Linked DNA regions of Callithrix jacchus. The protein of the gene in region 3 purifies or fractionates together with the protein of the main gene of each other region. This does not show direct contact. Links are inferred from orthologs where the notes say so. Each region holds a gene or a part of one and is shown on either strand. Other genes may lie near its edges.

Region 1 (2,499 bases), on a different chromosome or scaffold from region 3:
CTAGCTCTGAAACTGGCTTTGGGCTGAATGGAGTTTTACAGGCTGAAAGGAACCTTTGGTTTGCTCTGTAGTGCTGCATGTCTTAAGATGTAGCTGTTTTTTCATTTGTGAAATTAAGCAGATATAGGTAAGATGACCTATTCCAAAGTGAGAAACTAGAAAACCAGTCTTAGCTTACAGTTTTGGGGATGAGGGACAACTAAAATATTACCACTCCATAGCCAAGAGAGAAACATTTTTTTGGTGTCAGCACCAACCAGCTAGTAAGGCAGCTGAGGGCCAGGGCCAAGGGCTGGGCTGCCGGACACACACACAGCTCTGAGCCTCTGGGCCATCCCTTGTAAGAACTTTGTTGAGGTGGGAGTAGTCAGAGACCTGTGCTATGGAGCCTGCTCTCTACGCCAGTCAGGTCTGGGTGAGACAAGATAAACGTTCCTTAATGTGCCCCTGAATGAATAAAAGGTTCCTCCCAAATGCAGCAGCAGGCTAACAGGTGGATTTCAAGGCTATGCCCTACCCTGTCTCCCTATATCCCAGCTGTTGGAGGGTCTAGGTCTTCCTGGCTAATCCACAATCCAGGAAAGGGCTGATTTGGCAGTGAAGGGCCAAATAAGAAAAGATTCTCATACTGGTTTGTGCAAATGGGTTTTTTTATTTCCACATTTATATCACAAGGTGTCCACTTACTGGACCAAATAGCAAAGTTGCTCCCTTCTGCGTCCTGAGAACACAGAAGTCTATGTACTGTACATTCACTAAGGCTCCTTGTTTTTGCAAATCGCGTTTATGACAAATAACCATAAGGCAAACGAATCTAAAGGAATGGTTATGAGTGTTTCCAGCGTACAGACAGGTCTGCCCTCTCGCCCCACAGTACAGCATAAAACCAGTAGCACCCACAGTAACTTTTGTGTTGTTTAGGGGGGACTCTAGAAAGGTGAAGTTTTCTAGATGTGTACAGGAAGGGAAAAAAGGAAAGGGGGGAAGAAAGGAAAAGTTTGTTTGGTGGTCTGATGGAAGAGGAGTTAAACCCAAAAAAACTTAAATTTCTGCAGCATTTCTGTAAATACTGGGTTATAACTGAAACCAGATATAAACAGGTGGCTGCCCATGGAGTTGGGGTCATATTGGTTAGCCAGCTGGCCTCTCTGCCCAATGCCAGTGGCTCGCCACAGCTGAGGAGCTTCTGGCACACGATGGACAACACTGGCCTGACAGTGGCTGGGTAGGGGCAAACAGAGGCTGTGGCATGGCCCACTGTCTCTCAGACACTCGGGGCCAAATTAAAGAACAGGAAATGCAAGAGAGATGAGATGCGTGCTTCTGTTGCTGTGTTAAAGGTAACCTCTCCCACAGGTTTTCTGTGCCTGCCTGCAACTGAGGTCCCAGCATTCAGGTGCTGGAAAGTGTCCGCACCTCTTCAGGGGTGAGGGACTAACGCTTTTTATAGCTGGTTTGCTATAGAGTTCTGAACTCACTTTGCCGTCCTTCCTTCCGCACGGTCCTTCCTTCGCAATTTTGTTAGTAAACTGGTAGCAGCATTTCACAAAAGGAGAGTTTTGAGGGAAGGGTGCACAGAGAGACCACATGACTCCCGCCCCCTCCCTCCTGCCCAGGCCGGGCTCCCCGAGTTCCCAGCCGCAGGAGGCAGCTGGGCCCTGGCCACCCGCCCACCTGCCTGCCCGCCTGGCTTCTGCAAGATGGGAATGCACTTTGTGGCTGACGGGCCGGTCAGTCTAAGCAGACATAAGGCAGAATGTTCAAGCGCCCATCGTCACCGTGAGGATCGAGCGATATGCACTGCGTCCAGTCATACCAGTTACCCTGTGTGTCCTGACACCCGTTCACCCCCGGCCACTGGCTGGCCTGGATTCTGTTTAGATCGTCCTGTGTGACCTCCCGGGTCAGCCCAGGGAGGTCCGTGGGCGGGCTTTGAGGCACCAGCACGTGCAGCTGCCTGGCCCCTCGCCGGGTGCTCTCCTCCTGCTTCAGGTACTCAGACATGAAGTGGTGAGCCCCCGGGGTCTGTGCGCCCGAAGATGAGAGCAGGCTGCTCTGCCGGCTCAGGTAGGACTGGATGATCTCATTGCGTGACAGCTCCTTCCAGTTCGTCTGTTCGAAGGGGCTCTGGAGGCTGGCCTTGGCCTCCTGCTTGTCCAGCTCTGTCCTGGACGGCTGCTCCATGTGCACAGGGCTGTCTGCCCGCACTGGCTCTTTCTGGGTCAGAGGTTTGATCTGTCTTGTCATGGGGTCAAAGGTGAGCTTCCGCTCTTTTAACCGGACAGGCTTGACGCCCGCCTCGGCCACCTGCCCGTCCAAGTTAACCGTGTAGTCTCGAGGCCGGTACCTCTTCTTCTTTTTACTGTCCGAACCCCCAGAGGAGGCAGCATCACTGTCCGCCTTGGAGGAGTCTGGGGAGAAGCCTGCCCGGGACAGGAGGGGCTCGGCCGGGGATAGCCCAGCCTTGCAGCCTGGCCCTGCCAGCCGTTGGTGGCTCTC
Region 2 (4,230 bases), on a different chromosome or scaffold from region 3:
GGACTTAGTAATGGTGACGGGAGAAACATGGACAGATTTCATACATCTTTTGGAGGTAGAGCTAACAGGACCGGCTGATGGATTTAATCAATGGTGTATGAAAACAGCATGTTATGTCAACCTTTTCGTGTATGCTGTAAGTGAGACATAGAGAGTTGAGAACCTCTGGTCTAAGTAAAAGCTGGTTTCAGGTGGGGTAAGGGTGGTGCTCACTGGAGTGGGGCTATGGCAGGAGATGTGGGATAAGCCTTTCTCTGTTCTTGCAAATCTGGGAGTATGAGTCTACAGAAAGCTTTATAAGGCTTGATTTAGGGACAGGAGTACAGGGGAGGTAGAAGTCTCTAAGACTTAATCATGTTCTGTAACAGTCCAGGACAAGATGGAAACCTATGTCCTCTCCAATCGTGGAAAAAAGGCCAAAGAAAGCCCACACTCATTCTGTCTGGTTAAAGATGTGGAAATTAGAGCCCTGTCCTGCTACAAAGAAGGTGCATTCCTGGTATACTACATTAGAATCCAGCCCCATTTCCCCACAGAAATAAAATTTCCATAGGGGTTAGAGCCTACATTATTAGTGGCAATACACTTTTCAGGTAAACAGAATTAACAGGCTGGTGTGGAAATCTCAAGACTCCTATCAACATGGTTCTGCGGGACAATGAGTTCTGAGTTACAAACAGGTTAAGAGAAATCGTTTAGTGCCCGGGCTCGGTGGCTCACACCTGTAATCCCAGCACTCTGAGAGGTTGAGGTGAGTGGATCACAAGGTCAGGAGTTCAAGACCAGCCTGGCCAAGATAGTGAAACCTCATCTCTACTAAAAATACAAAAATTAGCCAGGTATAGTGACAGGTGTTTGTAATCCCAGCTATTCAGGAGGCTGAGGCAGGAGAATCTCTTGAACCTGGAAGGCAAGGGTTGCAGTGAGCCAAGACCATGCCACTACACTCCAGCCTGGGTGACAGAGCGAGACTCTGTCCCAAAAAAAAAAAGAAAAAAGAAAAACGTTTAGCTACAACTTGTGTTTCAACTTTTTAAATTCCTCCAAAGACTACCTCCTCCAATTACATTTTACAAAGTAATAAATATCCTGAAAGGCTACATAATCAGGTTAATAGTTTTAAAAAAAAAAAAACAGGGAGGGATAACATGGGGAGAAACGCCAGATATAGGTGATGGGGAGGAAGGCAGCAAACCACATTGCCATGTATGTACCTATGCAACAATCTTGCATGTTCTTCACATGTGCCCCAAAATCTAAAACGCAATAAAATATGTATTAAAAACAAAACAAAAAAACCCTAAGTTACGAATCCACTGTTTTTAAAGATGCTCAACCTAAAAATATGTAAGGTACATTTGTGAATTTTCTTCTCATTTTCATAAATGCAATCCAGACACAAATTCCATTCAGAAACTGACAAACTTCACAGATCACAGAATCGGTACACATAACTATGTCTGAGTGAGCACACGACACTTTTCTGGAAGTCATTCACATCAGAGCAGTTTCATTCTGTGAAGAAGTTCCAACAATCCACTCACCTTGGCCTCCCAAAGTGGTGGGATTACAGGCATGAGCCACCATACCCGGCCCTAATACAGTTTATTTTAAACAGTGGATTAAACACATAGCCATTTAATTTCTGGTGTCTATGTGTTTTAGGGTTCTCTTCCATCATTAAATATCATGCTGACCTGGTAACTTGGTAGTAATGTTGTGGCAAAGACTAAATTTAACACCATAAAGTGCCGATTATAAGTAGATCAGGTATATTTTAAAATACAATAGATAAGATTTATTCTAAAGCTGTCAAAGAATGTTGGCTACAGAAAAGGTGACATTTGAGCTGGATTCTGAAGGATAAATGAATCATCCACCAAATTGAGGGTAGACTGGGATTTGCACTGAAGATGTGTAAGTCTGGCTAAGGAATTTGAACTTTACCTCACTGGACAATGCAAACCTACCAACGATATAGGTTTTATATCATTTTTCTGCAGTAAAATGATATAACATGCCTTTTAAAACTGGTCTCGGCCAATATAAAAGGATAAAGTGCAGAAGCATGAGGCAATTAAAACTGGGAGGCTGCATTTAAGTAGCAGTTATTAACAGCGGAGTAGATACGAGACGGCAACTCTGAGTCACATTTTAGGAGGTAGAAGAACCAAGATAATTTACCACGCAAGCCAATGTGAGAGAGTCAAGGAAGACTTCAACTTGAGATACTTATCATGAAAAGTAACAGAATATGAAGAGTGACATCTAATTTCGTCTCCTACCTCTGCCACACAACCATCCCAAACAATTTGCAACCCCACCAAGCCAGGCTTTTGCACATGCCGTTCCATCTACCTGCTGCCTAGTGAGTCTGCCAGCTCATGCTTCCCAAGCAGCCCTTTCTTCAGGGTGCCTGTGTGCAGCCCTCTAATAAAACAGGCCCCACTCCAGTTTACACATCTGTCTGTCTCTGGCATCCAGCCTACCCTTCAAGACCCCAGTGGCTGGCACCCAAGGGGCGTTCCATAAATGTTAAGTGGCCGGCCGTGGACGAAGGGGGCTCCGACCGCGCAATTTCTTAATTTCCACGATTACTATCATTATTAAAATTCCCTCTATCGGGAAAAACCGCCGCCCAGAGTGCCAAAGGGCTGCGGACCCCACGTCCAGGACCATCGTGCACCCGAAACTCCCGCGCCGGCCCTCCCCGCCAAGCGCAGAGAACTAGCGCAAATCAAGGGCCGGCCGGGGTCAGTTCCCCGGCCCAGCTCCAGCCCGGCTCTAAGGCTCGAGCCATTACCTAGACAGGACTTCCAAATCCTCAAGCGCAGACAGCAGCCGCTCTCGTGTGCTGTTACCACTTGCCACTCCCAAGCCGCCTCCCAGCCGCTCCTTCTCCTTCTCACCACTCGAAGACGCAGCCATACTCCCGACCGTCCCGCCGCTGGCGCACGCGCAGTGCATGCTGACGCAGGGGCGTGGCGGGTAGGCAGGCTCGGAAGGCAGAAGAGTCACCCAGTGAAGGAATGAAAGCCCTGGCGAGACCGCCCCCTGTGCGCCTGGAGGCGCACTGCGGACACCGGCGCCATCTGCTGGGCCAGCGAGGGCTTTCCGGTAGAAACCTTGGGAGCGACAGCCGAACCGAGAACAAGGGGTAGACCAGAGTCTGATTCTCCTGGGCATAATGTTTTTTTCTTTCTTTTCTTTTCTTTTCTTTTCTTTTCTTTTCTTTTCTTTTTTCTTTTCTTTTCTTTTCTTTTCTTTTCTCTCTTTTCTTTTCTCCTCTCCCCTCCTCCCCTCCCCTCCCTTCTCCCTCCCCCCTCCCCCCTCCCTTCCCCCCTCCCCATCCCTCTCCCTCTTACCTCCCCTCCCCTCCCCCTCCCCATCCCTCTCCCTCTTACCTCCCCTCCCCTCCCCCTCCCCATCCCTCTCCCTCTTCCCTCCCCTCCCCTCCCCCCTCCCCATCCCTCTCCCTCTTCCCTCCCCATCCCTCTCCCTCTTACCTCCCCTCCCCTCCCCCCTCCCCATCCCTCTCCCTCTTCCCTCCCCTCCCCCCTCCCCATCCCTCTCCCTCTCCCTCTTCCCTCCCCTCCCCCCTCCCCATCCCTCTCCCTCTTCCCTCCCCTCCCCTCCCCCCTCCCCATCCCTCTCTCTCTTCCCCTCCCCTCCCCCCTCCCCATCCCTCTCCCTCTTCCCTCCCCTCCCCCCTCCCCATCCCTCTCCCTCTTCCCTCCCCTCCCCTCCCCCCTCCCCACCCCTCTCTCTCTTCCCCTCCCCTCCCCCCTCCCCATCCCTCTCCCTCTTCCCTCCCCTCCCCTCCCCTCCCCTCTCCTCCCCTCCTTTCCTCCTTTCCTTCCTTTTCTCTCTCCCTACCCCCCGCCCTCTCTCTCTCTCTCTTTCCTTCCTTCTTTTTTTTTTTTTTTTTTTGACGGGTTTCACTCTGTTGCCCAGACTGGAGTGCATGGTTGCAATCTCGACTAGCTACAGTCTCCGCCTCTCCGGTTCAAGCGCTTCTCCTGCGTCAGCCTAACGAATAGTTGGGATTACAGGCACGTGCCACGCTTCCAGCTAATTTTTGTATTTTTGGTACAGATAGGGTTTCGCCATGTTGGCCATGCTGGTCTCGAACTCCTGACTTCAAGTGATCCACCCCCCCACCCCCCTTGGCTTCCCAGAATGCTGGGGTTATAGGCGTGAGTACCCATGCCTGGCCCTGGGCCTAGTGTT
Region 3 (4,449 bases):
ACCCACTCCTTTCCTTTGCTTTCTCTCTGGGGCACCGTGGGCAGCTCTTGCTGCAGAGAGCTGTGCTGAGGCTCTTTACTACAGAACCTATACAGTGCTTGCCCCCAACAGTGCTTCCTTCTATGTCCCACTCCCCACAGATTTGCCTTCATACAGGCTTCCCAATATGCCTGGATATGTCAGCACTGATCCTTTCCCTGGCCACCTTGCCCTTATGCTGCATGGATGTGGACCTCTTTGCCTCTCTGTACTGCCCACGATGGTGGACTACAGCAGAATGGGCTCACCAGTTGACAGCTTTCTCCACTCATGTCTTCTATTCACTAAGCTTGGTGGGTGTCCCCATTGCCCAGAAAATTATTACATAGCCCTCATATCAAATTTGTTTTGAGAAGCATTACCACAAACCTGTCTCTGGCCTATGATCCCAGGGAGTCCTCCCTCATGCCAACAAGACCTCTTGGGATCAGCCACATATGTGAAGTTAGAATGCGGTTTAGGCTCTGCCATAACTCTGAACTAAACATGATTTTAGGGGTGAGGAAACTGGGACCTAGGGGCTTGGGGAAGTGGCCCGAGGGTATGGAGAGTAACTGACCTGTCTTTCTTCCAGGATATAATATTCATTCCTGGCACCAATCCCCTCTACCTTGTATTGAAAGCAAGGACAGCCTCCCTGCAACCACACGTACAAGTGGCCACTCAGCAGGTGCATACTAAACGTGTGTTGAGTTGTATTATTAGAATCTCAGTGGCTATGCAGCATTGGAGGGACAGCAATCCCTTTGCCTCTGTGTCCCTAAAGCTAAGCAGGAGGTCTCCACGTCTTGCACTGTGAGCCAGGCGGGGTTTGGAGCCACTGGCCCTGAAGGTCCCTACTCTCTGGATTCCCAGTGCCTGCGGAGCCCAGGCCTCAACCAGCAGGTAAGTGCAGTCCATACCTCCCGCGGGTCCAGCTGGTTCTTCTCCAGACTTGGGTGTACTAGGCCAGGCTGTGCCTTACTAATCTCAAGGCTTCCTGTGTTTGTGTGAATAGGAATAAGAAGATTGTTATTTCTGGCCGGGAGCGGTGGCTCACGACTGTAATCCTAGCACTTTGGGAGGCCAAAGTGGGAGGATCACCTGAGGATGGGAGTTCGAGACCAGCCTGACCAACATGGAGAAACCCCGTCTCTACTAAAAATACAAAATTAGCCAAGCATGGTGGTGCATGCCTGTAATCCCAGCTACTCAGGAGGCTGAGGCAGGAGAATCTCTTTCACCAGGGAAGCGGTGGTTACGGTGAGCTGAGATCGTACCATTGCACTCCAGCCTGGGCAACAAGAGCGAAACTCCGTCTCAAAAAAAAAAAAAAAGAAGATTGTTATTTCTTAAATAAATCCCCTATTTCTCACTATTTATTCATTTAGCAATCTTGACTCACAACCCAAATCCAGGCACCCCCCCTGGACCCACCGCGGCCCATTGCCTAGCAACAGCCTTCCCGCCCCGCCTCCGCGCCTTTGCCCACCGGGTGCTTAGTGCGCACGCTCTAACCCCGCCCTGTAGGACGCACTGTGGTGACGTGTACAGTCCGCGACGCTTTCGGTGATCCGACCTCTGGGTTGGGCTAACCTAACCCCGGCGTTATGGCCTCCGCCGGGGTGGCAGCCGGGCGACAGGCGGAGGATGCATTGCCGCCAACGTCCGACCAGCCGCTGCCCGACAGCAAGCCGCTGCCGCCTCCTCAGCCGCCGCCGCCGGTCGCTGCCCCTCAACCGCAGCAGTCGCCGGCGCCGCGGCCTCAGTCACCGGCCCGCGCGAGGGAGGAAGAGAACTACTCCTTTTTACCTTTGGTTCACAACATCATCAAATGGTAAGAACCTAGGAGAGGACCAGACCTCATACTCCCTCCAGCTTCTCGTCTCACCCTTTTCAGAGCTGCAGGAGGCCTTGGCGCTCTGGGGCACGCCCCCGTTTCAGAGTTAGGAAAACTCAGGCTCAGAGCGGGAAGAGGCCTTTCCCAATACCACAGAGCCATTCCATGAGTTAAGCAAACGATTTGGGCCCTGAGAGGTGCGATATCTTTAAGAATAAGGCCAGCTTAGAGACCAAATGCAGACGTTTGTCCAGAGGCTCAAGTGTACATCCAGCTATCTTGAGCAAATTAAATCTCTCTAAGGCTCAGTTTTCTCACCTTTAATGTTAGTAATACTTTAGTTCCTTATTTCAACAGACTCAGCAGATAAGCATCATCTTCCCTGTGTTAGATACTGCCAGGTGCTATGGGATGGACACAGTAAAAGGGGCCAACATTTCATCCCCAAAGGTTTCACCAGATAGAAGGAAAAAAAGACATGATTGGGAATAACCCATAATTCAAAAAGATTGAGAGGGGAGCAGTGGTGATGGGAGACATTAGACTAAACAAAGACACAGAAGTTGCCTCAGATGATTAGACCTACCTGTACTGACTTTGTTCTAACTGTTCTAACAGTGCGAAAGGAAATTACTGTCATCCTTTTGGCCAGCATCCAGGGTAGCCTGAGTTTTCCAAGTGACTCTGTAAAGAAAAAGCCAAAAACAAGAAAGCCAGAGTCTCACTGATCCCCATGTTTGCCTAAATTTTTATTATTTTTGAGACAGGGTCTTGCTCTGTCAGCCAGACTGGAGTACAGTGGCGTGATCTGGGCTCACTGCAGCCTCAACCTCCTGGCCTCAAGCCATCCTCTCACCTTAGGCTCCCAAGTAGCCAGAACCATAGGCATGAGCCACCGCACCCAGCGAATTTTTGTAGAGATGGGGTTTCACCACGTTGCCTGGGCTGTAAATTATTTTCATTATGTTACTGCACTGTGTGTATCCACGTGATACTAGTTGTAAACCCCTAGGCTTGTAACTCTTATTCAACCATTAAAGACCAAAACAAAGTAAATTAAAGGAAAATTACAATTCCAGTAACATTCAGGTGAACATTAATGTGCTCTTCACTGTTTTACTGAAATGGAATTGTTTCTTACGTGAAGGTCTCGACTGTTAGTGGCCCAGCCTCTTTTGAGTTTAAGCAAACTAGATTCAGTTGCTGTGGGATGACCTGATGCTGTTCTGCCCCTTTTCAAATAACTACAAAGGCTTTATTCTCCCATTAGACCCTGGCTTCACTTGGTGTGAAAATACTCTTTATAGGGTAAGGCAGCCTGTTCAGTTTTTGTGAGCCTGTGATAATGATCACAGACAGAAATACATATGCAGCCCCTGTAATCCCAGGTCAGTGCTGGATTATAAAGGGTTTATTCAGATTAACCCCAATTGACTGGTTTTACAAAAAATGTGGAAAAAGGAAAACATAAAATGTACACATTCACAAAGGCAGCTCTTGAATCCCTGAGAGATTCTTGAGCCCTGGTAGAGCAACTGGGTTGGGTGGCCTTAAAGATGTAGTAGTAAGTTTCACTAGAGAGAACAGGCTTTGAAGTTAGACGGTTCTGGGTTCAAACCTGTGTACTGACACTTTCTTGCCTTCTAATCTTGATATAAATGCCTAACCTTTCTAGGCCATAATCTTCTTATCTCTAATATGTCTATAGTGGACCTCATAAGATAGGTCAAATTATGTAATAGCTCTATAATGTGCTGACTGGGTGACCTTGGCAAGTAGCTTAGCTTCTCTGAGCTATGAAATGGGAATACTTATGTCATAGGATTGTTGGGAGGATGTACTGAAGAGCATACCTGTGAAACATAGTGGGTTGATCACATGTGCTTGCCTCTGTTCCATCTAAAAGGACAGAGAAGGGACTTCAAACAAACAAAAAGCATAGAACCTCTGGATGCAGTGGCTCATGCCTGTAATCCCAACACTTTAGGAGGCTGAGGTCAGCCTATTGCTTGAGCCTGGGAGCTCAAGACCAGCCTGGGAAACATAGCAAAACTTTCACTCAACAAAAAATACAAAAAAAAAATAGCCAGGCATGGTGGTGTGTGCCTGCAGCCCTGGCTACGTGGGACGCTGAAGTGGGAGGATCACTTGAGCCCAGATTACACCACTGCACTCTAGCATGGGCGACAGAGTGAGACCTTGTCTCAAAAATACAAAAGCATGAAACCAGAAGGAACAGGACAGGAGATTGCCACAAAGTGGATGGCTAGAGCAGATTCATCTGCCAACTCCTAAGCAGCTGGCTTGTTAAACATGACCTACCCCCATATATCAGGAACTCTAGTGCAAGGACCCTCTGGAACAGGGAGGGTGAAGGTGGGTCTAAGAACAGGAAGGTTACTTAGAAGTCTGTTTAAGAAGCAGGTCCCCACAGTCCTACTCCCAAGCAGCTGGGTGACTACCTTTCTTCCAACTTGGCAGATCGTTAAAAGGTTACTTTCCCAATTAGGAAGGAATATCTGGACTGGGGGACACCAGGCACACTGCAGGGGCAGGTGGGGGAGCCATACTGAAAAGAAGGATTAAGAGGA
Region 4 (4,396 bases), on a different chromosome or scaffold from region 3:
GGCCGAGGCGGGTGGATCCTGAGGTCAAGAGATCGAGACCATCCTGGTCAACATGGTAAAACCCCATTTCTACTAATACAAAAAGAACTTAACTGGGCATGGTGGCACACGCCTGTAGTACCAGCTACTCGGGAGGCTGAGGCAGGAGAATTGCTTCAACCCAGGAGGCAGAGGTTGCGGTGAGCCAAGAGCATGCCATTGCACTCCAATCTGGGTAACGAGCAAAACTCCGTCTCAAAAAAAAAAAAAAAAAAAAAAAAAAAGATTTGAACACTGGTTGGGCACATGATCTTGACCAGTACACTTAACTTAAGCTTCAACTTCTGTAAAAAAGCACCCACCTTGTAAAATCACTGTGGGTCTCTGCACATTACCTGGCCCATAGTAACTACTCAGTCAATGCAGGCTTCTATTGTTATGACTATAAATGACTCCCTTGCCCTCTGAGTCACACAGGGCCAGATTGCCATACAATTTTAAAGTGAAGCACAAGAAGTAAAAGTTACTGGCCAGGCATGGTGGCTCACGCCTGTAATCCTAGTGCTTTGGGAGGCTGAGGTGGGCTGACTGAGCTCAGGGGTTCAAGGCCAGCCTGGGCAACATGGCAAAACCCCATCTCTACCATAAAAAAAAAAAAATTAGGCAGCCGTGGTGGCACATGCCTTTAGCCCCAACTACTCAGGAGGCTGAGGCAGGAGAATCGCTTGAACCCGGGAGACAGAGGTTGCAGTGAGCCAAGATCGTGCCACTGTACTCTGGGTTAAAGAGCAAAATTGTCTCAAAAAAAAAAAAAAACAAAAACAAAAAGTAAAGTAACTTAGCTGAAGGCACAGAGTTATCAAGTGGAGCCAGGACCCAACGACATCTTCCAAGAGACTACCCCACTGGCTCCCCTATGTATGGTCTCACCTTGTTGACCTGCGTGACAACAGCATCCACGACTTCTCCTTTAAAGGGCCGGAAAACAATGGCCTTGTACTTAACTGGATAAAGGACGAAGCCTCGGCCTGGCTGGATCACACCAGCACCGATATTGTCAATGGTGGTTACAGCGATTACAAAGCCATACCTGCAAGGAGGAGGAGAAACAAACGGCATTTTGTGTCCATGAGCCTCTAAAGATTCTGCAGTAAAAGTCACTGAGCTTTTGGGAGGAGGGTCAAGGAGAACAAAAGGACAAGTTGCTAGCACCTCAGTTACCAGAGCTTAATGACCAAGAGAAGACAGGACACAGATCAGTATGTATTAGGCCAAATGCTGCTCTGATAATTTCACAATAAATGTCCAAGATGGCTGGAGACCTTGAGCCAACAGGGGCCAATCTTTGGGATGCCTGAGAATCATCTTATTAAAATGCAGACTCTCTGGCCCAGCACGGTGGCTCATGTCTGTAACCCCAGCACTTTGGGAGGCCGAGGCAGGTGGATCACCTGAGGCCAGGAGTTTGAGACCAGCCTGGCCAACATGGAGAAACTCCATCTCTACTAAAAATACAAAACTTAAGGCCGGGCACAGTGGCTCACGCCTATAATCCCAGCACTTTGGGATGCTGAGGCGGGTGGATCACGAGGTCAAGAGATCGAGACCATCCTGGTCAACATGGTGAAACCCCGTCTCTACTAAAAATACAAAAATTAGCTGGGCATGGTGGCGCGTGCCTGTAGTCCCAGCTACCCGGGAGGTTGAGGCAGGAGAATTGCTTGAACCCAGGAGGCGGAGGTTGCAGTGAGCCAAGATCACACCATTGTACTACAGCCTGGGTAACAAGAGCAAAACTCCATCACAAGAAAAAAAAAACAAAACAAAAATTAGCTGGATGTGGTTATGCACATCTGTAATCCCAGCTACTTGGGAGGCTGAGGCAGAATGGTTTGAACCCGGGAGGCAGAAGTTGCAGTGAGCCGAGATCGTGCCACTGGACTCTAGCCTGGGTGAGAGTGAGACTTCCATCTCAAAAAAGAAAAAATAAGCAGATTCTCAGGTCTGCCCCAGAGAATCTTGATTCTGTAGGAAACAATGAGGTTCAGGAATTTGCATGTTCAAGAACCACCCCAGGTTTTTCTGATGCTGGAGACCCAAGTAACTCCACTGCCCTGGGCTGGGTCATTAATACCACCCTGGGAGAGGCTCCTCTGCACAAAGCCCAGAGATGTTCAAGTCCCAAGCTGCTTCCTTCCTCCCCCAACTCGATCTGCCTTTTCTGGTCATTCATTCAGAATATATATTGAGGCCCATGGTGTGTGGTCCCTGGGCACAGGGGATAAGAGAAAACCAGCAGAATGACAGAGGGAGAGCAGACACAAGAACAGTAATTACACTGTGGACTCCACGAGGGCTGGTCTCATTCTATCTTGTTCTCAGGGCCCAACACGGGTCCTGGCACACAGCAAGGATTTTTTTAACATGTTTGAGGAGTAAATGAATGATTAATTTCAACGGAGGGAAGGAAGTCTTATCGGCCAGCATTGCAGAGGGAGTCCTGGGAACCCAAAGCAGGAAACAACTGGCAGCCTGAGAGAGTGAGAGAGGTCCCCAGAGTGGGTGGCAGGACGAGCAGGAGCTGGGGAGGGGTTGCAGGTATAGCGCCTCGTGTGTGCGATCTGGCTGCGCGGTGAAGTCGGCACTCACTTCCCGGTGCAGGTCCCCTCCACCTCGGTGAAAAGCTTCTGCTTCACCGTGTTGAGCAAATTGGGGCCGAAGTAGCGCGGGTGCAGCAGGATTTCGTGCTCTAGGGAGATCTGCGGAGAAAAGTGGGATGGCGACCAGGCCAGGCGCTGGGAGGTTATCGGGCAAGAAGGGGCCCCTCGCGCCGGCGCCCGGCTTTGCTCCTCCTTCCCACCCAGCCCTTGCTGCCACCCTGAGCCCTGCTCACGTGGTAGAACATCTTCCCAGAGCAGTCTGCGAGGCTAAATCCACACCTCTTGCCGCCTCCGGGAATCCACCGGAAGCACAGATAGCCTCAGCAACCCCAGTTCCGGGCCGGCCGCGACAGAGGGAGGAACTCCACCCCCTTCGCGGGTTTGATTGGGCCTCGCTGTCGTGGGCGGGAACCACTAAAGCCACGCCCCTCGCCCGCCCAACCTGGGCCTCAAAAGGCAATTCTCTTAATGCACAAACTATAACAACCACTCAGTAAATACTTATAACGAGATTAATTAGTGAAAGAATCCATAAGTCAAGCGCTATAACAGAGTGCAGCAAATCGATTCAGCAAATATATATCTACACATGTTTGTTGGAGGCCCAAGTACTTCACTGCCCTGGGCAGAGAGAGAGTCTCTGTTGTCCAGGCTGGAGTGCACTAGCGGGATCATAGCTCACTGGAGCCTCCAACTCGTGGCCCCAAGCGATCCTCCCATCTCAGCCTCCCAAGTAGTTGGGGCAGCAGGCGTGCCACCACGCCCAGCTAATTTTTAAAAATTTTTTTTTGTACAGACCGAGTCTCTGTGTTGCCCAGGCTGGTCTCCAACTCCTGAGTTCAAGTGATCTTCCCGCTTCAACCTCCCAAGATGTTGGAATTATAGACATGAGCCACCACACCAGACCTTTGTCTTTCTTTTTTCTTTTCTAAGAGAAGGGATCAGTCCGGGCGCGGTGGCTCACGCCTGTAATCCTAGCACTTTGGGAGGCCGAGACAGGTGGATCACCTGAGGTCAGGAGTTCAAGACCAGCCTGACCATCATGGTGAAACCCCAACTTGAAAAAAAAGGGGGGGGCTGGGCGCGGTGGCTCACGCCTGTAATTCCAGCACACTCTGGGAGGCCAAAGCGGGTGGATCACAAGGTCAAGAGATCGAGACCATCCTGGCCAACATAGTGAAACCCCGTCTCTACTAAATACAAAAAAAATTAGCCGGGCATGTTGGCACATGCCTGTAATCCCAGCTACTTGGGAGGCTGAGACAGGAGAATCGTTTGAACCCAGGAGGCAGAGGTTGCGGTGAGCTGAGAATGCGCCATTGCACTCCAGCCTGGTTAACAAGAGTGAAACTCCATCTCAAAAAAAAAAAAATTAGCTGGGCGCAGTGGCAGGCGCCTGTAATCTCAGCTACTCTGGTGGTTGAGGAAGGAGAATCGCTTGAGCCTGGGAGGAGGAGGTTGCAGTGAGCTGAGATTGTGCCACTGCACTCAAGGCTGGGCGGCAGAGCACAACTCCATCTCAAAAAAAAAAAAGTTGTTGGAATCCCAAAAACCACTTTAAGCCTCGAGAGAGATGTGACTTCGAGTCACATACAGTTTACAATTTCTGTTCTCAGATTATAGATCAACTCACTTTCTTATTTGTCTTGTTCTCTACATTGACTAGAAAGACTTAAATGACCTCAGGGACAAAAAAAACCTCCTGCCTCCTTAATGAATGACCCTTGTTATAGATTAACTTGCCTTTTGTTGTTCTG
Region 5 (4,349 bases), on a different chromosome or scaffold from region 3:
GATGGGTGAATCACAAGATCAGGTGTTTGAGACCAGCCTGGCCAACATGGTGAAACCTCATCTCTACTAAACATACAAGAAAATTAGCCAGATGTTGTAGTGCATGCCTGTAATCTCAGTACTTGAGGCTGAGGCAGGAGAATTGCTTGAACCCAGAGGGCAGAGGTTAAAAAGAGCCAAGATCGCACCCACTGCACTCCAGCTTGGGCAGCAAGAGCAAAACTCTGTCTTAAAAAAAAAATTGTCACTACTCTATCAGAAAAAGCACTGATAAACAATGCTGCTAATGTGCCTTATTTTGAAATATAAAAGAATCCCTAACGGATGCTACAAGGGACAGAAGTCCTAGGATTCTGAAAAAGTTGTTAAAGGTTACCACAGAGAGCCCTTTGTGGGTAACCCCCATATAGGCACCGAGGAATGAGAGCTAAGTAGAACCCTGGCACAGTTAGGGCTTGAGGAATATCTCACTTTATAGTGTTACCACTCAGCCATTTCCTTTTATATAATCCTTTATACAGTCATATATTAGTTTATAGAAATAGGGCTTGACAAATCCCTTTATATAATCTTCTCTATATAATCATATAATAGTTAATAGTATGAGTGCCTAAAGAATATTTCCCTACATGTATACCTATATCTTAGTTCATATCAGAGGAATGCGTAGAGTGGACACAGTACATAGTATGAATTAAGGAATAAGCAGCTTATAATCAGAGGAATGCCTAAGAGCAGACACTGTGCAGAGCATGATTTAAGGGAAAAACAGTTATGCCAGGACAAGAATCCATGGCCCAGGCGGCAGCGTTCAGTATCGTAAAGATACCCGCTGTATGGCAGGCTTGGGACGAGAGCCACTCCTCCTCATGAAGGAGTTGTAGGACCTTGCTCCCGTTCTTGTGGAAGGCTGCCCTCAGAACGGCAATCCACCTTGGTGACTGTGAACTTTATCAGCTCTTGCTACTGTGCTGCTTGAAAAGCATCTTCCCATAGGACCCATTGGAAGCTGCCAGAAGGTGGCGGTAACCCTGACAGCTCTGTCACTGCTATGTGACTTAAAGCATCCTCCTATAAATCTTCCTAGAAGGAGTTTGACCATAGATAGAAGTATTGCACACTGAGCACGGCCCACCTTCATACCTCGGTGACCTAATGGGGGTGGACCCCTTACTGCACACGGCCCTTGCCTTTGTGGGAACGGGCCCTTTGCTGTGCACTGTCCACCTCCTGGCCTAGGTGACCTCATGGGGGTGGACCCCATGTTTTATTGCTCACGACCCTATCTCTATCCTTAAAGATGATTTCACTCACTGGCCTGCCCCCTAACCTACACAATAAATACTCATGCTTCTGGACATTCGGGGCCTCGCCTGACTCTGCTTCTAGGTGGTGTGCCCCCCTCTCCACCCTGAGCCCAGCTGCGTTTTTGTTGTACTTCTGTGTCCTGTCTCTTTATTTCTCGGATCCTGCGCCTCAGCACAGCATAAGGCTCACCCCACGACCCTGTGGGGCCATCAGCCCTACATCAGGCTCCCAACGTGCCCTACATCCTTTCCCTGGAGCTGCCTTTTCCATTTGAGAGCAGGGGTGGCAGGGCACAATGGCTCATGTCTGTAATGCCAACACTTTGGGAGACCAAAGCAGGAGGCTCACTTCAGTTCAGAAATTCAAAACCCACTTGTGCAAAATAGCAAGACCCAATTTCTTTTTTTTTTTTTTTAAAGAAAGAGCAAAGGGTTCCAGGGTTCTACGCTGCATCCGTTCCATTTCCATCTTTCACGTATCTTGCTTCCATTAAGGAACACAGGAGGAGGAGGATGTCAACTGTGGGAAACAAGAGTGCAATCACTGAGAAACCCGCGAGAAACGGGGCTACCAGGAGAAGTATTTACCCCACACACGCTTTTATATGAGCTACAGCCACTGGCTTCAGATATCCTGGCCCCCGGGATTCTCCCACAGGAAAGATGCTCACACCTCCTGCGATAAGAAAAAAAAATGTCTGGGACCTAGTACCTTACAACTAATGCCTCCGCGAGCGTTGTACCTTTCCCTGCCACCTCATCTTCCAACTGAGACTTAAAACATATGAAAGATAAAAACTCCATTGAAACTAGACCAACCATGGAATTAAACATAGTGAGAAGCAGGTCCTAAAGAGTGCCTGGAACCACGATCTCCTTCTTATCAATAGCCTCTTTTTTCCTCTAGACCCAAGATCTTAAAATGGGCAAATTACAAACAGACACCAGCTGGTCTAACTGCATTTGATGGCTGAGACAAGGGTAGGCGAAAATCTCAAAAAAAAAAAAAAAAAATACTGTCTCCTGATCGCTTTTAACCTACTCCCTCCAACCCTGTCTGCAGGTAGGTCCTAATCCAAAGTCCCTATTTCCAACCTTGAGGTCCAAGTGCAGACAGTACTATGGCCTCACGGGAAGGAAGATGTACCCATAAGGGAAGAAGGTACATAACCATTGATAGGTCCCTGGTATAAAACCTTTGCTCTGCCGCCTTCCAAGAGGTAAGAGCGCATCTCCGAGGAAAAAGGCCCAGGGAACCCGCGGCCCGCACGGTATCCTCTTATCCAGATAACCCGAGGACATTTCGCTCAGCTCCCAGAGGACGGCGGGCCATGGTCAAGGACCTCTTCCCGGCCCTTCACAACTCCAAATCCCGCCCCACAAAACCCCTGCAGTCCTACCAAGTCACTCCCATGGTGTCGGGACAGGAAGGTGGCAGGATCACACAGTAGAAATGCGTCGTTCCCAGTCCGCCCACAGGAACTGCTTCAGTTCCCCAACACAGGCTTCGGTCGCAGAAGGGATTCCGGAAATACGTAAAAACAGAGCGCCGGGTCCACGCCTTCCCCAAGGAATGGGGCGTGTCTTGGCACCCGTCGGTGACGCCTCCAGTGACATAATCAGTGGATTCCCGCTCTCATGTTTCTAGCTCCGGAAATTCCCGGTTGGCTGAGCACTCTAGGCTTAGATCCATGAAGCTAGAAGAACGAGACTTAGACTGCACTATTGAGAGACGCCAACGTTAAAGGAAGTAAATGTATTTGGGAGTCCAGCTCCGGAACCCAGGAGCTCTTTTAGTGGGAGGGGCGGTGCTGATAGCGCTTCTGGCCTCCGATAGCTAGAGGGCGCTGTGATCGCAGCGTGGCCTCTTGGGAGGTGGGAGTTCACCCAAGTGTATTCTGGCCTTTTCGTCGTCCCCACGTGCGAACCTTCCCGGCAGTATTTTCAAGAAAAATGCCCAAGTTCAAGGCCACCCGTGGGGCCGGGGGTCAGGAAAAACATGCGCCCCTGGCTGAGCAGATCCTAGCTGGGAATGCGTTGCGGGCAGGGGTCCGGGAGAAGCGGCGGGGTCGTGGCACCGGAGAAGAGGAGGAAGAGTATGTGGGGCCTCGGCTGAGCCGACGGATTTTGCAGCAAGCACGGCAGCAACAGGAGGAGCTCGAGGCCGAGCATGGGACTGGGGACAAGCCCGCGGCGCCGCAGGAACGCACCACGCGGCTGGGTGAGTGTCTGGGATGAGGTCCGAACAAGACAATGGCTAGCAGCGGGGCCGGGGGCGGGGGGGAGGACAGCTAAAAAGTGTCCGGCAGGGGACTTGCAAAAGTAATGGAATGGGAGACTAAGCAATGGCCAGAGACCTCCGCGCCCACTCCTAGTTTTAGGCACTCCCTTCTAGGCACCCCCGAAGTTAGGCCAATAGGAAGTAATCGCTCGCGCCACTAAGTGTTCTTAGCATTTATCCATTGGTTTTGTAAATATTTATGGAAAACCTACTACGAGCTTTGCGCTATGCTCGAAGTTCAATCGAATATTTGAGTACAGAAGTAACAACATACAGACACGTCTGATTTAAGGACCTTACAGTCAAGCCCAGCGGAGAGACAATTACGTAGACTCTTAGAATAATATATTTCCATGATAAAATATCGTTTCCCTGGTGACAGTAGCATTGGTCTTGAGAAGCTTCTCCGATTGTAGGACCTTTAAGCTGAGAACTGAAAAACGAATGGGAAGTGTAATGAGCAGAAAACACGTTTCGCAGACAAAAAGGGAGAGAAATGAATTGACGTTTGATAGGTTCTTACTAGGGAGGGAGTGCTTACCTCTGAGGTGCTTCATCCACTTCTCAGATCTCATCTAAAGCAATATTTGACACAATTGAATAGTGGCCTCCTGCCCACAGTATCCTTACTTGGGTTATAAGACATCAACACTGCTGTTTCACTGCCACCTCACTTCTCAATATCGTTGGCTGACTCTTACTTGCAACCTCTTATCCTCAGTCCTCTGACCTCTTCTCTTCAGATATTCTCTAGTGCTGTC
Region 6 (4,155 bases), on a different chromosome or scaffold from region 3:
GAGATTTAAATCAGCTTAGATCATTAACATTTAATTATCAATGTATTAATAAAATAAAATTTAGGGTTACTATTTTATTATGTTTTATTCTGAGAGGTTGTGAAATTTTTTGAGACGGAGTTTCGCTCATTACCCAGGCTGGAGTGCAATGGCTCGATCTCGGCTCACCACAACCTCTGCCTCCTGGGTTCAGGCAATTCTCCTGCCTCAGCCTCCTGAGTAGCTGGGACTATAGGCGCACGCCACCATGCCCAGCTAATTTTTTGTATTTTTAGTAGAGACAGGGTTTCACCTTGTTGACCAGGATGGTCTAGATCTCTTGACCTCCTGATTCACGCGCCTCAGCCTCCCAAAGTCCTGGGATTATAGGCATGAGCCACCATGCCCGGCCTGACATTTTCTATTTGTACCTTCTTGACTCCTTTATAACACTTAAGTACTTTGAAAATCAGTTTTCTGATCAAATCTTCTCTCCTCCAAAAACTACAATGAAGAGTACAGATTTATGGACAATAACTGTGATAGCAAAATGTTTTTAATAAACATCAATGAAAATACAGTTAAAAGTTCAAAAACTTTCTGTGACAAGCCAATAAACTGTTACGAATTTTATAGCTAACACTGGTGTTCCTGAAATTTGAAACACAGTACTTTTCAAGAACTGTGGAAAAGCTTGATTATGACAAAAATAACAGGCAGTGTTGTATTTTTGGTTTCTCTGGAAACTTAAACTCTGAATAGCAAGATTACAGCAAATGTAGCTCAGGATATTCTGAAAAATATAGCCCAAGGAAATGGCCAGTTAAAATGTGAATACATTTTAATTCCACCTTTCCAGTGGAGAAAATCACTAGACTAAAAGAGATCCAAGGGTTGGATGAGTAACCATAGTTGAAAATGCTGATACAAATGTTAGCAATAATAACTTGAGGTGAAATAGAGCCCAGTAACTGATGTATTGAAAGTATGTTCGGGTCTGACTAGAATACAGCAATAAAAGTTGAGAGATTAATAAAGGGCAAAAGAAAGAAACTTTAGATAAATAAAGAGACTGAGAAAGAACTGACGATTCAAAAACATACTTCACTGTGATGCAAGCAAATTAAGGAGAAGGATGAAAAATACAAGGTGAATTCTTTCACAATAGCAGGAAAATTCTGACAGAGGATTTCTTGGTAGAATGTGTAGATGAACTAGAACAGGTATGAAGTTCTGAAAGAAGAAACATTTGCATAAATGTGACTTACTTATCCAGCCACACTAACTCTATTTAAAAGCAATACAATTTCCAAAACTTTCTTGCTCAAAGCTCAAATTTACACAATGCCACCTCTAAGAGGCAGGATGCTAGCCTAAACTAAAATGTCCCTTATGTCTGTTCTTACTACCTTCTTCTCTGGCTTGAGAAATGTTTTGATTTGTAAAAGTACTGGCCAAGACAACAAAATAAAGACATGAATCATGTCACAATAGAATTTTATATATGTTTACTTATGTTTATTAATGCATCATCTGCCTTAATAATTTCAGTTAAAAAATGATGGTATGACGGTTTAAAGCTGGTTCAATCATTATTTTATAAGCTTATTTATCACGAGTGAAAACAGAAGACTATTAAAAATAGCTAAAAAGGGAACATGTGTCATAGTGTTGAATGCTTCTGTAACTGTTGGTAAGGCTTGTTATCTAAGTCTGATGCAGAATTCTTAATGGCACTGAAACAGTTCTTTTCTCAGCCACATGGTATCCACTGGTGCTACGAGTCTGGAATAGACTGGCTATGGGTACCACTTCTTGTCTTCAGCTGTGACTGTGCAATATCAGCAAGCGCACTTTGTATCTTTTCCAGAAGCATGTCTCCTCGATAAACAACATCTTCCAGACATGTAGCAGCTTCATGGTTTTCTTCTTCTAGCTTATATAAGCTAGCAGCCTTTATAAGACAGAAATTTTGAAATCTTTAGAGTTAACGAGGGAAGCTGTCACAGAGGTACTTATTTTTAAATCTGGATGACTTTGCAATTATTGTGTTTTTCAGCAAAGAAATTCTAAAAATCAGATAACTTCTAAGAATTTTCCTCATTTGAATTATTAAAAAGAATGAATTTTCAATTAGAAATCTCTAGATATCTGTAAGTGACTCCCTTCCACACTACATTTGGGCACCATTGTTCTACTCCACATCTAGAATGCCACCCTCCTCTCATTCTTCACTAGGAAAAGAGACACAATTGAGGAAATAAGAGGTTTCCTTATAATGGAAAATTGAATATTATAACAAAAGGTGCTATGATTTGAATGTGTCCCCTCCAAAATTCATACGTTATGTGTCCCCTCCAAAATTCATACGTTAAAATCTAATCCCCAATGTGAAGGTATTAAGAAGGAAAGGGCCTTTAAGAGGATATTAAGTCATGAAGGCAAAGCTCTCATAGAATTAGTGCCCTCATAAAATGGCTTGAGGTTGAAGAGGGAATTCTTGCTCTTTTGTCCTTCTGCCTTCTGCCATGTGAGGAAATAGAAAGAAGGCCCTCAACATGGCCTTAAACATGGCCCTAAACATAGCACTGTGTTAAATAAAAATGTCTTACTCATGCACAATGAGTAATAAATGTCTTGATCTTGGACCTCCCAGCCTACAGAAACTGTGAGAAAATAAATTTCTGTTCTTTATAAATTATTGTCTCAGGTATTCTGTTACAGCAGCACAAATGGACACAGACAAAAGGTATTAAACCTTGCTCCTTTAATTCAAAATTCTCTATTACTGGTAAAATTCTCAAAGGAATAAAGACTTACCTGTAAAGCAGCTGTAGACTCTTCACTGGGTAGGGAATCTATCAAAACATCAATGTCTTTTGCTGTTCGTGCAATCAGTGCTGCAAAAAGCTGGGCATACTCTAGAGAAAGATAATGCTAGATCAGGTCATTAGAAAACCTCAAGTTTTCAGAACAAATTTTAAGTTAGTGAAACTGGAAACTTCACATAGCTTTTTCTGCACTAGGATTCTAATGATTAAAATATACACAAATCCTATTACACATTTAGCTCAAATTGGGAATTAAGCATAATTTTTGGAAACAAAATAAGCCGAATTGCTCAATAAATCTAATTTGAAAGGATTACAATAAATGTGAGAGTCAAAGAGAAGCTAAGAAAACCAGTTTACCTTCTGTAGGATTAGCTGGCTGGTCTTTGTTAATTGCTGTCTGAATATTACTAAAAGACGCAGGAGGACCACACTGCTGCAATACTCCAATGGCATTACAAAACTGATCTGCAAGCTTAGGCCAAAGAAAACATGTCAAGGTTAGGAAGGACTTATCAATTTTAAGGACTTTATTGATAACAGCAACAACAATAAATTTCTTTAATCATAATCTCTGAGTAAGGGAATAAAACAGAAAGGAATAATTGCTGATAAAATAAGCCAGTTACTAATAACGTTAATTAAACATTTTAATTCTGCAAAGAAACTAAGTTTGGTATCAACCCAGTTGAAACAGTTGAAATAAAAATAATATTTCTTTTCTTTTGATAGTAAAATGGTAAGAGAACACTAGCCAATATTTATTATAAGCCAAAAGTAAAGACTTTTGGGGAACAGTGATGGAAAAGAGCAGTGATGGAAATCTGACTTGCAAATATCTACCTATGGCATTGCGTCAAATGAAAATTTATTATTCATGTACAAAGTATATAATTCCTTTTCTGAAACTGGAGTAGTTACAAGCATAAAGAAATAGTGGGGAAAAGGCTGCTCAGAAAAGCACCTTAAGTAATCAGAAACATATTTGTTCAAGACTCAAGTTTTAAACTCTTGTGCGCTAAAAGTACTCCTTAAGTACTTCTAAAGATTGAGAACAGCAATTCCTTATCATCTCCAAATTAAAAACGCCTATCCTCCCCACCAATTTCTCTCACCTAGTCTTGACCTCTCAAACCTCCTATTTCTAATAAGCATTTGCACTGGGTTTCTCTGCCATTGTTCAATTACAGAACTCAAAGGCAACTGTTTTCTCTGTTTAATTTGTATTGACAGTCTCTAAGTCAACCAGTCTAACCACAGATTCTTACTTTCCTTTGATCTTCAAATTCTACTAATACTTCTAATCTTTCTCTTTTCCTCTGTCTTGTTTTCCACTACTCCTTCA
Region 7 (3,775 bases), about 39 Mb from region 3:
GCACCTGGTTTGTGGTACCCCCCCAATTCAGTGTTCGCTTTCCCAAGTGAGCACAAGTATTTGAGGCTCCTCATCTTTGTTCTAAAGTCAAGAGACCAATTAGTAATTAACCACTAGTTGTTGTGCCGTGATTAGGTCAAGCGAGGTCACAGTGATTCTTAAAGCCACCCTGCAAAACATGTATACAGGTATTTCCTTTCCTGCAGAATTTAAGAACCTTTATGTAGTTCCTTCCTGGTGATTTAAACAAGTCACTGACTCCGCTACTCTCACTACATAGGTAAGAGTGGTAGAGTAGTTGATCTGAGAAACAGGTTCCAGGAGATGGCCTTGCCCTACTATATGTCAGGAAGAGCTAGCCTTAGAATTCAGTATACTTAGTGACCCACCCCTACCCCATGCCCCAATGCCTTCTTTATTTGGTCTAAAGCACCTAACTTTTCCATTATTAATCAGCTGATTATACTAAATGCTTAAAAAAGAAACACCTTAAAATCCATATGGAAATCAAAGTAGAACACTTCAGGTTTAACAGTGATAGTCTATTAACAATAAAAAGTTAGTTTGATTAAAAAGCATACTAACAGTTCTAGATGCTACCATAATAAAGCTAGATAGGAAGAGTTTTCATTTTTTTTGTCTTCACTGTACATAAGAAATACATTTTTTATATATATATATATATATATATATCTTCAGAGCCTCGTCTGTATCCAGTTTTTCATTTCCCCGATGTGTTATTTTGCTGTTGCTGCTCTGCCAAGGCTTGCTGAAGGCGCATCCGCTTCCGGGAATAGTGCTGCCAGTGTAGAATCTGCTGTTCATCAATAAATTTCGCACACTGGGCATTCACCAGCTCCTTTCGGAAGTGTTCATACTGGAGCAGCTCTAACATGTGTAAACACTGAGGGTACCTGGGTTTAAGTTTATAAGTGAATGAACAACATAATTTAAGTAGTAAATAATGCCAAGGTCTAATTCAGTTATTCTCTTAAAAATGATCTTGTAGCCTACCATTTCTATAACATTAACTTAGTACACTCTAGTAGCATAGGGTTTTTCCCCTGCATAGTCATCAAAAGTCAGTGTTCAGCAAAATTTTCAAGTGAGAAGGTTTAAGTTCAGAAAGATTAAATTAACTTGCTCAAGACTACAGAACACAGTAACTGGTAAGCAGAGTGAAAATTTAGGGACAAACCATGCTATTCCCTTCTAGTGCTTTCCAAGGTGAAGAACATGAACATATTTTAGTAATTATGTGTTTAATTGATAGTTACTGGTTTTTCCATCAATAGTGATAAAAACACAATTTCAGTTTGAAAGAGGACTATGCATATACGTTGTACTCTTGTCCACAGGGGTATACCAATTCTGAAATTAGGTATACTCTAGGATTGGACAAGTAAATATACTGTGGATATGGAGAGCCAAATTTCTGGCTACCAGAAAAGGACTTATAGACAAGTAAAGGAAAAAGGCTAGAACGAACCCTGTGTTACCGAGCTGGTATTGAAAACAACATGTACTTAGGGCTTTTAATATATAGAGACATAGACAGATATATATGTGTGTGCATGTATACACATACATACATATATAGAGTTCTTGAGCTTTGTGTACTGAGAGGGCCTAGAAGCAATGACACTGTGGTACTAATGAACACACAGTGCCCCGTTTCCAAGGAGCAGGTTTCCTTGGAGAAAAGTCTGATTCAGGGATAAGACAGGGAAAGGACAAGATGAGCCTGGAACATTACGTAATGCTAGAAGAAAAAGTGCTAAAAATTCTTGGGAGGATCAAAAGTATTCAGGAGCCAACTTGAAGGGACTCCTAATGGCCAAATCTGGAATACTCAGAGCTTGAAAATACATAATTAAAATTCACAGAATAAAAATAAGAATCCAAAAGTCCATACTAAATGGATGCAAATTTCTTTAATAAAAGAATAAATAAAAAACAAGAAAAAGTACTTCCCTACAATCGAATTCCAAACTAATAAATGGAGAATGAAAGATTTAGAAAATCACAATGAAAACTGTTTCCTCAAAAGCAAGTATCTTCAAATGATGCTAAAATTAATGGGCAAAAATATATGTAATATATTTACATAGTCTCAAAGGATTTCCCCATAAGATACATTTTAAATATACAAGGAAAAATAGTAACTTGATATGGAGAAACCTAGAAGGTACCACCCTCAACCAAGTTATCAAAATTAATATCACCAGTTGTGGAACAAATAGACTTCATGTGACTGTAGATATATGACAGATACAAAATCATTTCTGTCATAGTCATGGCAAAGAAAAGACCACTGAGATTAAAGGAGACTAAGAAAACATGACAATAAATGCAACATGCAGGCCTAGACTGGATCCTGTACTGCATACAGCACACCAGCTGGACAACTGGCAAAATCTGACCTCTGTAGATTAGGTAATAAATTCATATTAATGTTCTGATTTTTGCTGATTGTATTGTTAAACATCTGGAATATCTGGATGAAGAAAATACAAGAATTCTCTTTATTATTTTTTCAGGTATTTTGTAAGTAAAATTATTTCAAGTTGAAAATATATAAAAGCATTTAAAAGAGACAAAATACATTGAAATATAGGAAGTATGCAGATAAAGCCAAAGTTGTAGAAGTGATATGCAAATGACTAGTTTGGAAAATAGGATGCTAGAGCAATGCTTCTCAAACTTTAATGTGTGTATGAATCACTTCTTAAAATGCAGACTGACTCCTTAGGTCTGCAGTGGGGCATGAGCTCTGCATTTCTAAAAATCTCCCAAATGCAACCAATGCTACTGATCTGAACACCACACTGAATAGAGGGCTTAGTACCATGCTTCGAAGAGAGTAACTTCCAAGGCAGTAAAGGTTTGCTATCTACACACTAAAAGTACACAATTGCTCTAATTGCTGGCTGCTTATGCTAGAATGCTCTATTCACACCTGCCCTGGCTAATTCCCTTTCATGACAGCACCAGTAGTTAAAAGGACCAGGATTTAAGGTCCAGCCTGGTAGCCTTTAACAAGGTACTTAACCTCTCTAAAGTTCAGCTAGCTTCTTCAGCTGTAAAATAATGTGACAACCAAGTCTCAAATAGCATTTGGTCAATAACTAGAATTTAGACAGGCAGCGTTTATATCAGAATGTATTAGACGACAATAAAGAATCATACTCTGGATAGGCTACAAGTCAACAAGATGAAACAGAAGCAGTAGAAAAGGAAAGTTCTGCATTTGGTGTTTTAAAAAATAAACAAGATAGGGAGAACCCAACAGCATTGATGAAAGTAAGAACTGAAGGATTTCAGTTGACATTAATGCACCCAGCAAGTCAACAATGTGATCCTCTCCCCACCCCACCCCAAGAGTAATATAAACGTTAAGTTTAATTAATAGAGGTGTATGTCCACATAAAGAAAAGAAAGAACCTCTGACCCACTGTACTCTGACCACATCTGAAGGCCTGTGTTTAGTTCTTGGCTGAACTGCATAAGGTACAACTGCCAAATATCCAAAGGAGGGAACCTGAATTCATGAGAAGTCTGGGCACCATGGCACAATGGCTGAAGGGAGTTGAGAAAAAGAGACATAAGAGAGGTGTTATAGTGGCAGCTACTGGTTAGCAATGAACCAAGCCAAGTGGTAGAAAGTCTCTTCCACCAGGTGGAAAGCAGCTAGTAGTGGCAGCTGCTCTCAGCATCAGCCAGTTGTTGATTGGAAGAATTAAGATCTATGGTTGCTAAATCTTCCAGATTTTAA

The links.
Region 1: the proteins of MED9 (region 3) and MED26 purify together in Homo sapiens (affinity purification with mass spectrometry; 6 studies listed by BioGRID and IntAct, with this or other methods). This does not show direct contact. The link is inferred for Callithrix jacchus from reciprocal best matches to the Homo sapiens genes MED9 and MED26.
Region 2: the proteins of MED9 (region 3) and MED4 purify together in Homo sapiens (affinity purification with mass spectrometry; 10 studies listed by BioGRID and IntAct, with this or other methods). This does not show direct contact. The link is inferred for Callithrix jacchus from reciprocal best matches to the Homo sapiens genes MED9 and MED4.
Region 4: the proteins of MED9 (region 3) and POLR2G purify together in Homo sapiens (affinity purification with mass spectrometry; 3 studies listed by BioGRID and IntAct, with this or other methods). This does not show direct contact. The link is inferred for Callithrix jacchus from reciprocal best matches to the Homo sapiens genes MED9 and POLR2G.
Region 5: the proteins of MED9 (region 3) and MED20 purify together in Homo sapiens (affinity purification with mass spectrometry; 6 studies listed by BioGRID and IntAct, with this or other methods). This does not show direct contact. The link is inferred for Callithrix jacchus from reciprocal best matches to the Homo sapiens genes MED9 and MED20.
Region 6: the proteins of MED9 (region 3) and MED21 purify together in Homo sapiens (co-immunoprecipitation; 8 studies listed by BioGRID and IntAct, counting the BioPlex papers as one, with this or other methods). This does not show direct contact. The link is inferred for Callithrix jacchus from reciprocal best matches to the Homo sapiens genes MED9 and MED21.
Region 7: the proteins of MED9 (region 3) and MED31 purify together in Homo sapiens (affinity purification with mass spectrometry; 4 studies listed by BioGRID and IntAct, with this or other methods). This does not show direct contact. The link is inferred for Callithrix jacchus from reciprocal best matches to the Homo sapiens genes MED9 and MED31.

The regions. Positions count from the first base shown.
Region 1 is NC_133523.1:15,191,171-15,193,669, forward strand, and holds the end of MED26 (mediator of RNA polymerase II transcription subunit 26), read right to left. Parts: coding exon 1,732-2,499; 3' UTR 633-1,731; downstream 1-632. UniProt on the Homo sapiens protein: Component of the Mediator complex, a coactivator involved in the regulated transcription of nearly all RNA polymerase II-dependent genes.
Region 2 is NC_133502.1:67,843,352-67,847,581, reverse strand, and holds the start of MED4 (mediator of RNA polymerase II transcription subunit 4), read right to left. Parts: upstream 2,966-4,230; 5' UTR 2,929-2,965; coding exon 2,804-2,928; intron 1-2,803. UniProt on the Homo sapiens protein: Component of the Mediator complex, a coactivator involved in the regulated transcription of nearly all RNA polymerase II-dependent genes.
Region 3 is NC_133506.1:69,668,446-69,672,894, reverse strand, and holds the start of MED9 (mediator of RNA polymerase II transcription subunit 9), read left to right. Parts: upstream 1-1,580; 5' UTR 1,581-1,628; coding exon 1,629-1,855; intron 1,856-4,449.
Region 4 is NC_133511.1:120,037,468-120,041,863, reverse strand, and holds the start of POLR2G (DNA-directed RNA polymerase II subunit RPB7), read right to left. Parts: upstream 2,956-4,396; 5' UTR 2,885-2,955; coding exon 2,873-2,884; intron 2,739-2,872; coding exon 2,629-2,738; exon of another isoform or gene 2,346-2,628; coding exon of another isoform or gene 2,317-2,345; intron 1,070-2,316; coding exon 910-1,069; intron 1-909. UniProt on the Homo sapiens protein: Core component of RNA polymerase II (Pol II), a DNA-dependent RNA polymerase which synthesizes mRNA precursors and many functional non-coding RNAs using the four ribonucleoside triphosphates as substrates.
Region 5 is NC_133505.1:50,422,050-50,426,398, forward strand, and holds the start of MED20 (mediator of RNA polymerase II transcription subunit 20), read right to left. Parts: upstream 2,823-4,349; 5' UTR 2,722-2,822; coding exon of another isoform or gene 2,708-2,721; intron 1,828-2,707; 5' UTR 1,777-1,827; coding exon 1,682-1,776; intron 1-1,681. Other genes in the region: BYSL (bystin), read left to right, coding at 3,261-3,528. UniProt on the Homo sapiens protein: Component of the Mediator complex, a coactivator involved in the regulated transcription of nearly all RNA polymerase II-dependent genes.
Region 6 is NC_133510.1:44,217,546-44,221,700, forward strand, and holds the end of MED21 (mediator of RNA polymerase II transcription subunit 21), read right to left. Parts: intron 3,286-4,155; coding exon 3,171-3,285; intron 2,901-3,170; coding exon 2,800-2,900; intron 1,934-2,799; coding exon 1,757-1,933; 3' UTR 518-1,756; downstream 1-517. UniProt on the Homo sapiens protein: Component of the Mediator complex, a coactivator involved in the regulated transcription of nearly all RNA polymerase II-dependent genes.
Region 7 is NC_133506.1:108,206,856-108,210,630, forward strand, and holds the end of MED31 (mediator of RNA polymerase II transcription subunit 31), read right to left. Parts: intron 915-3,775; coding exon 722-914; 3' UTR 528-721; downstream 1-527. UniProt on the Homo sapiens protein: Component of the Mediator complex, a coactivator involved in the regulated transcription of nearly all RNA polymerase II-dependent genes.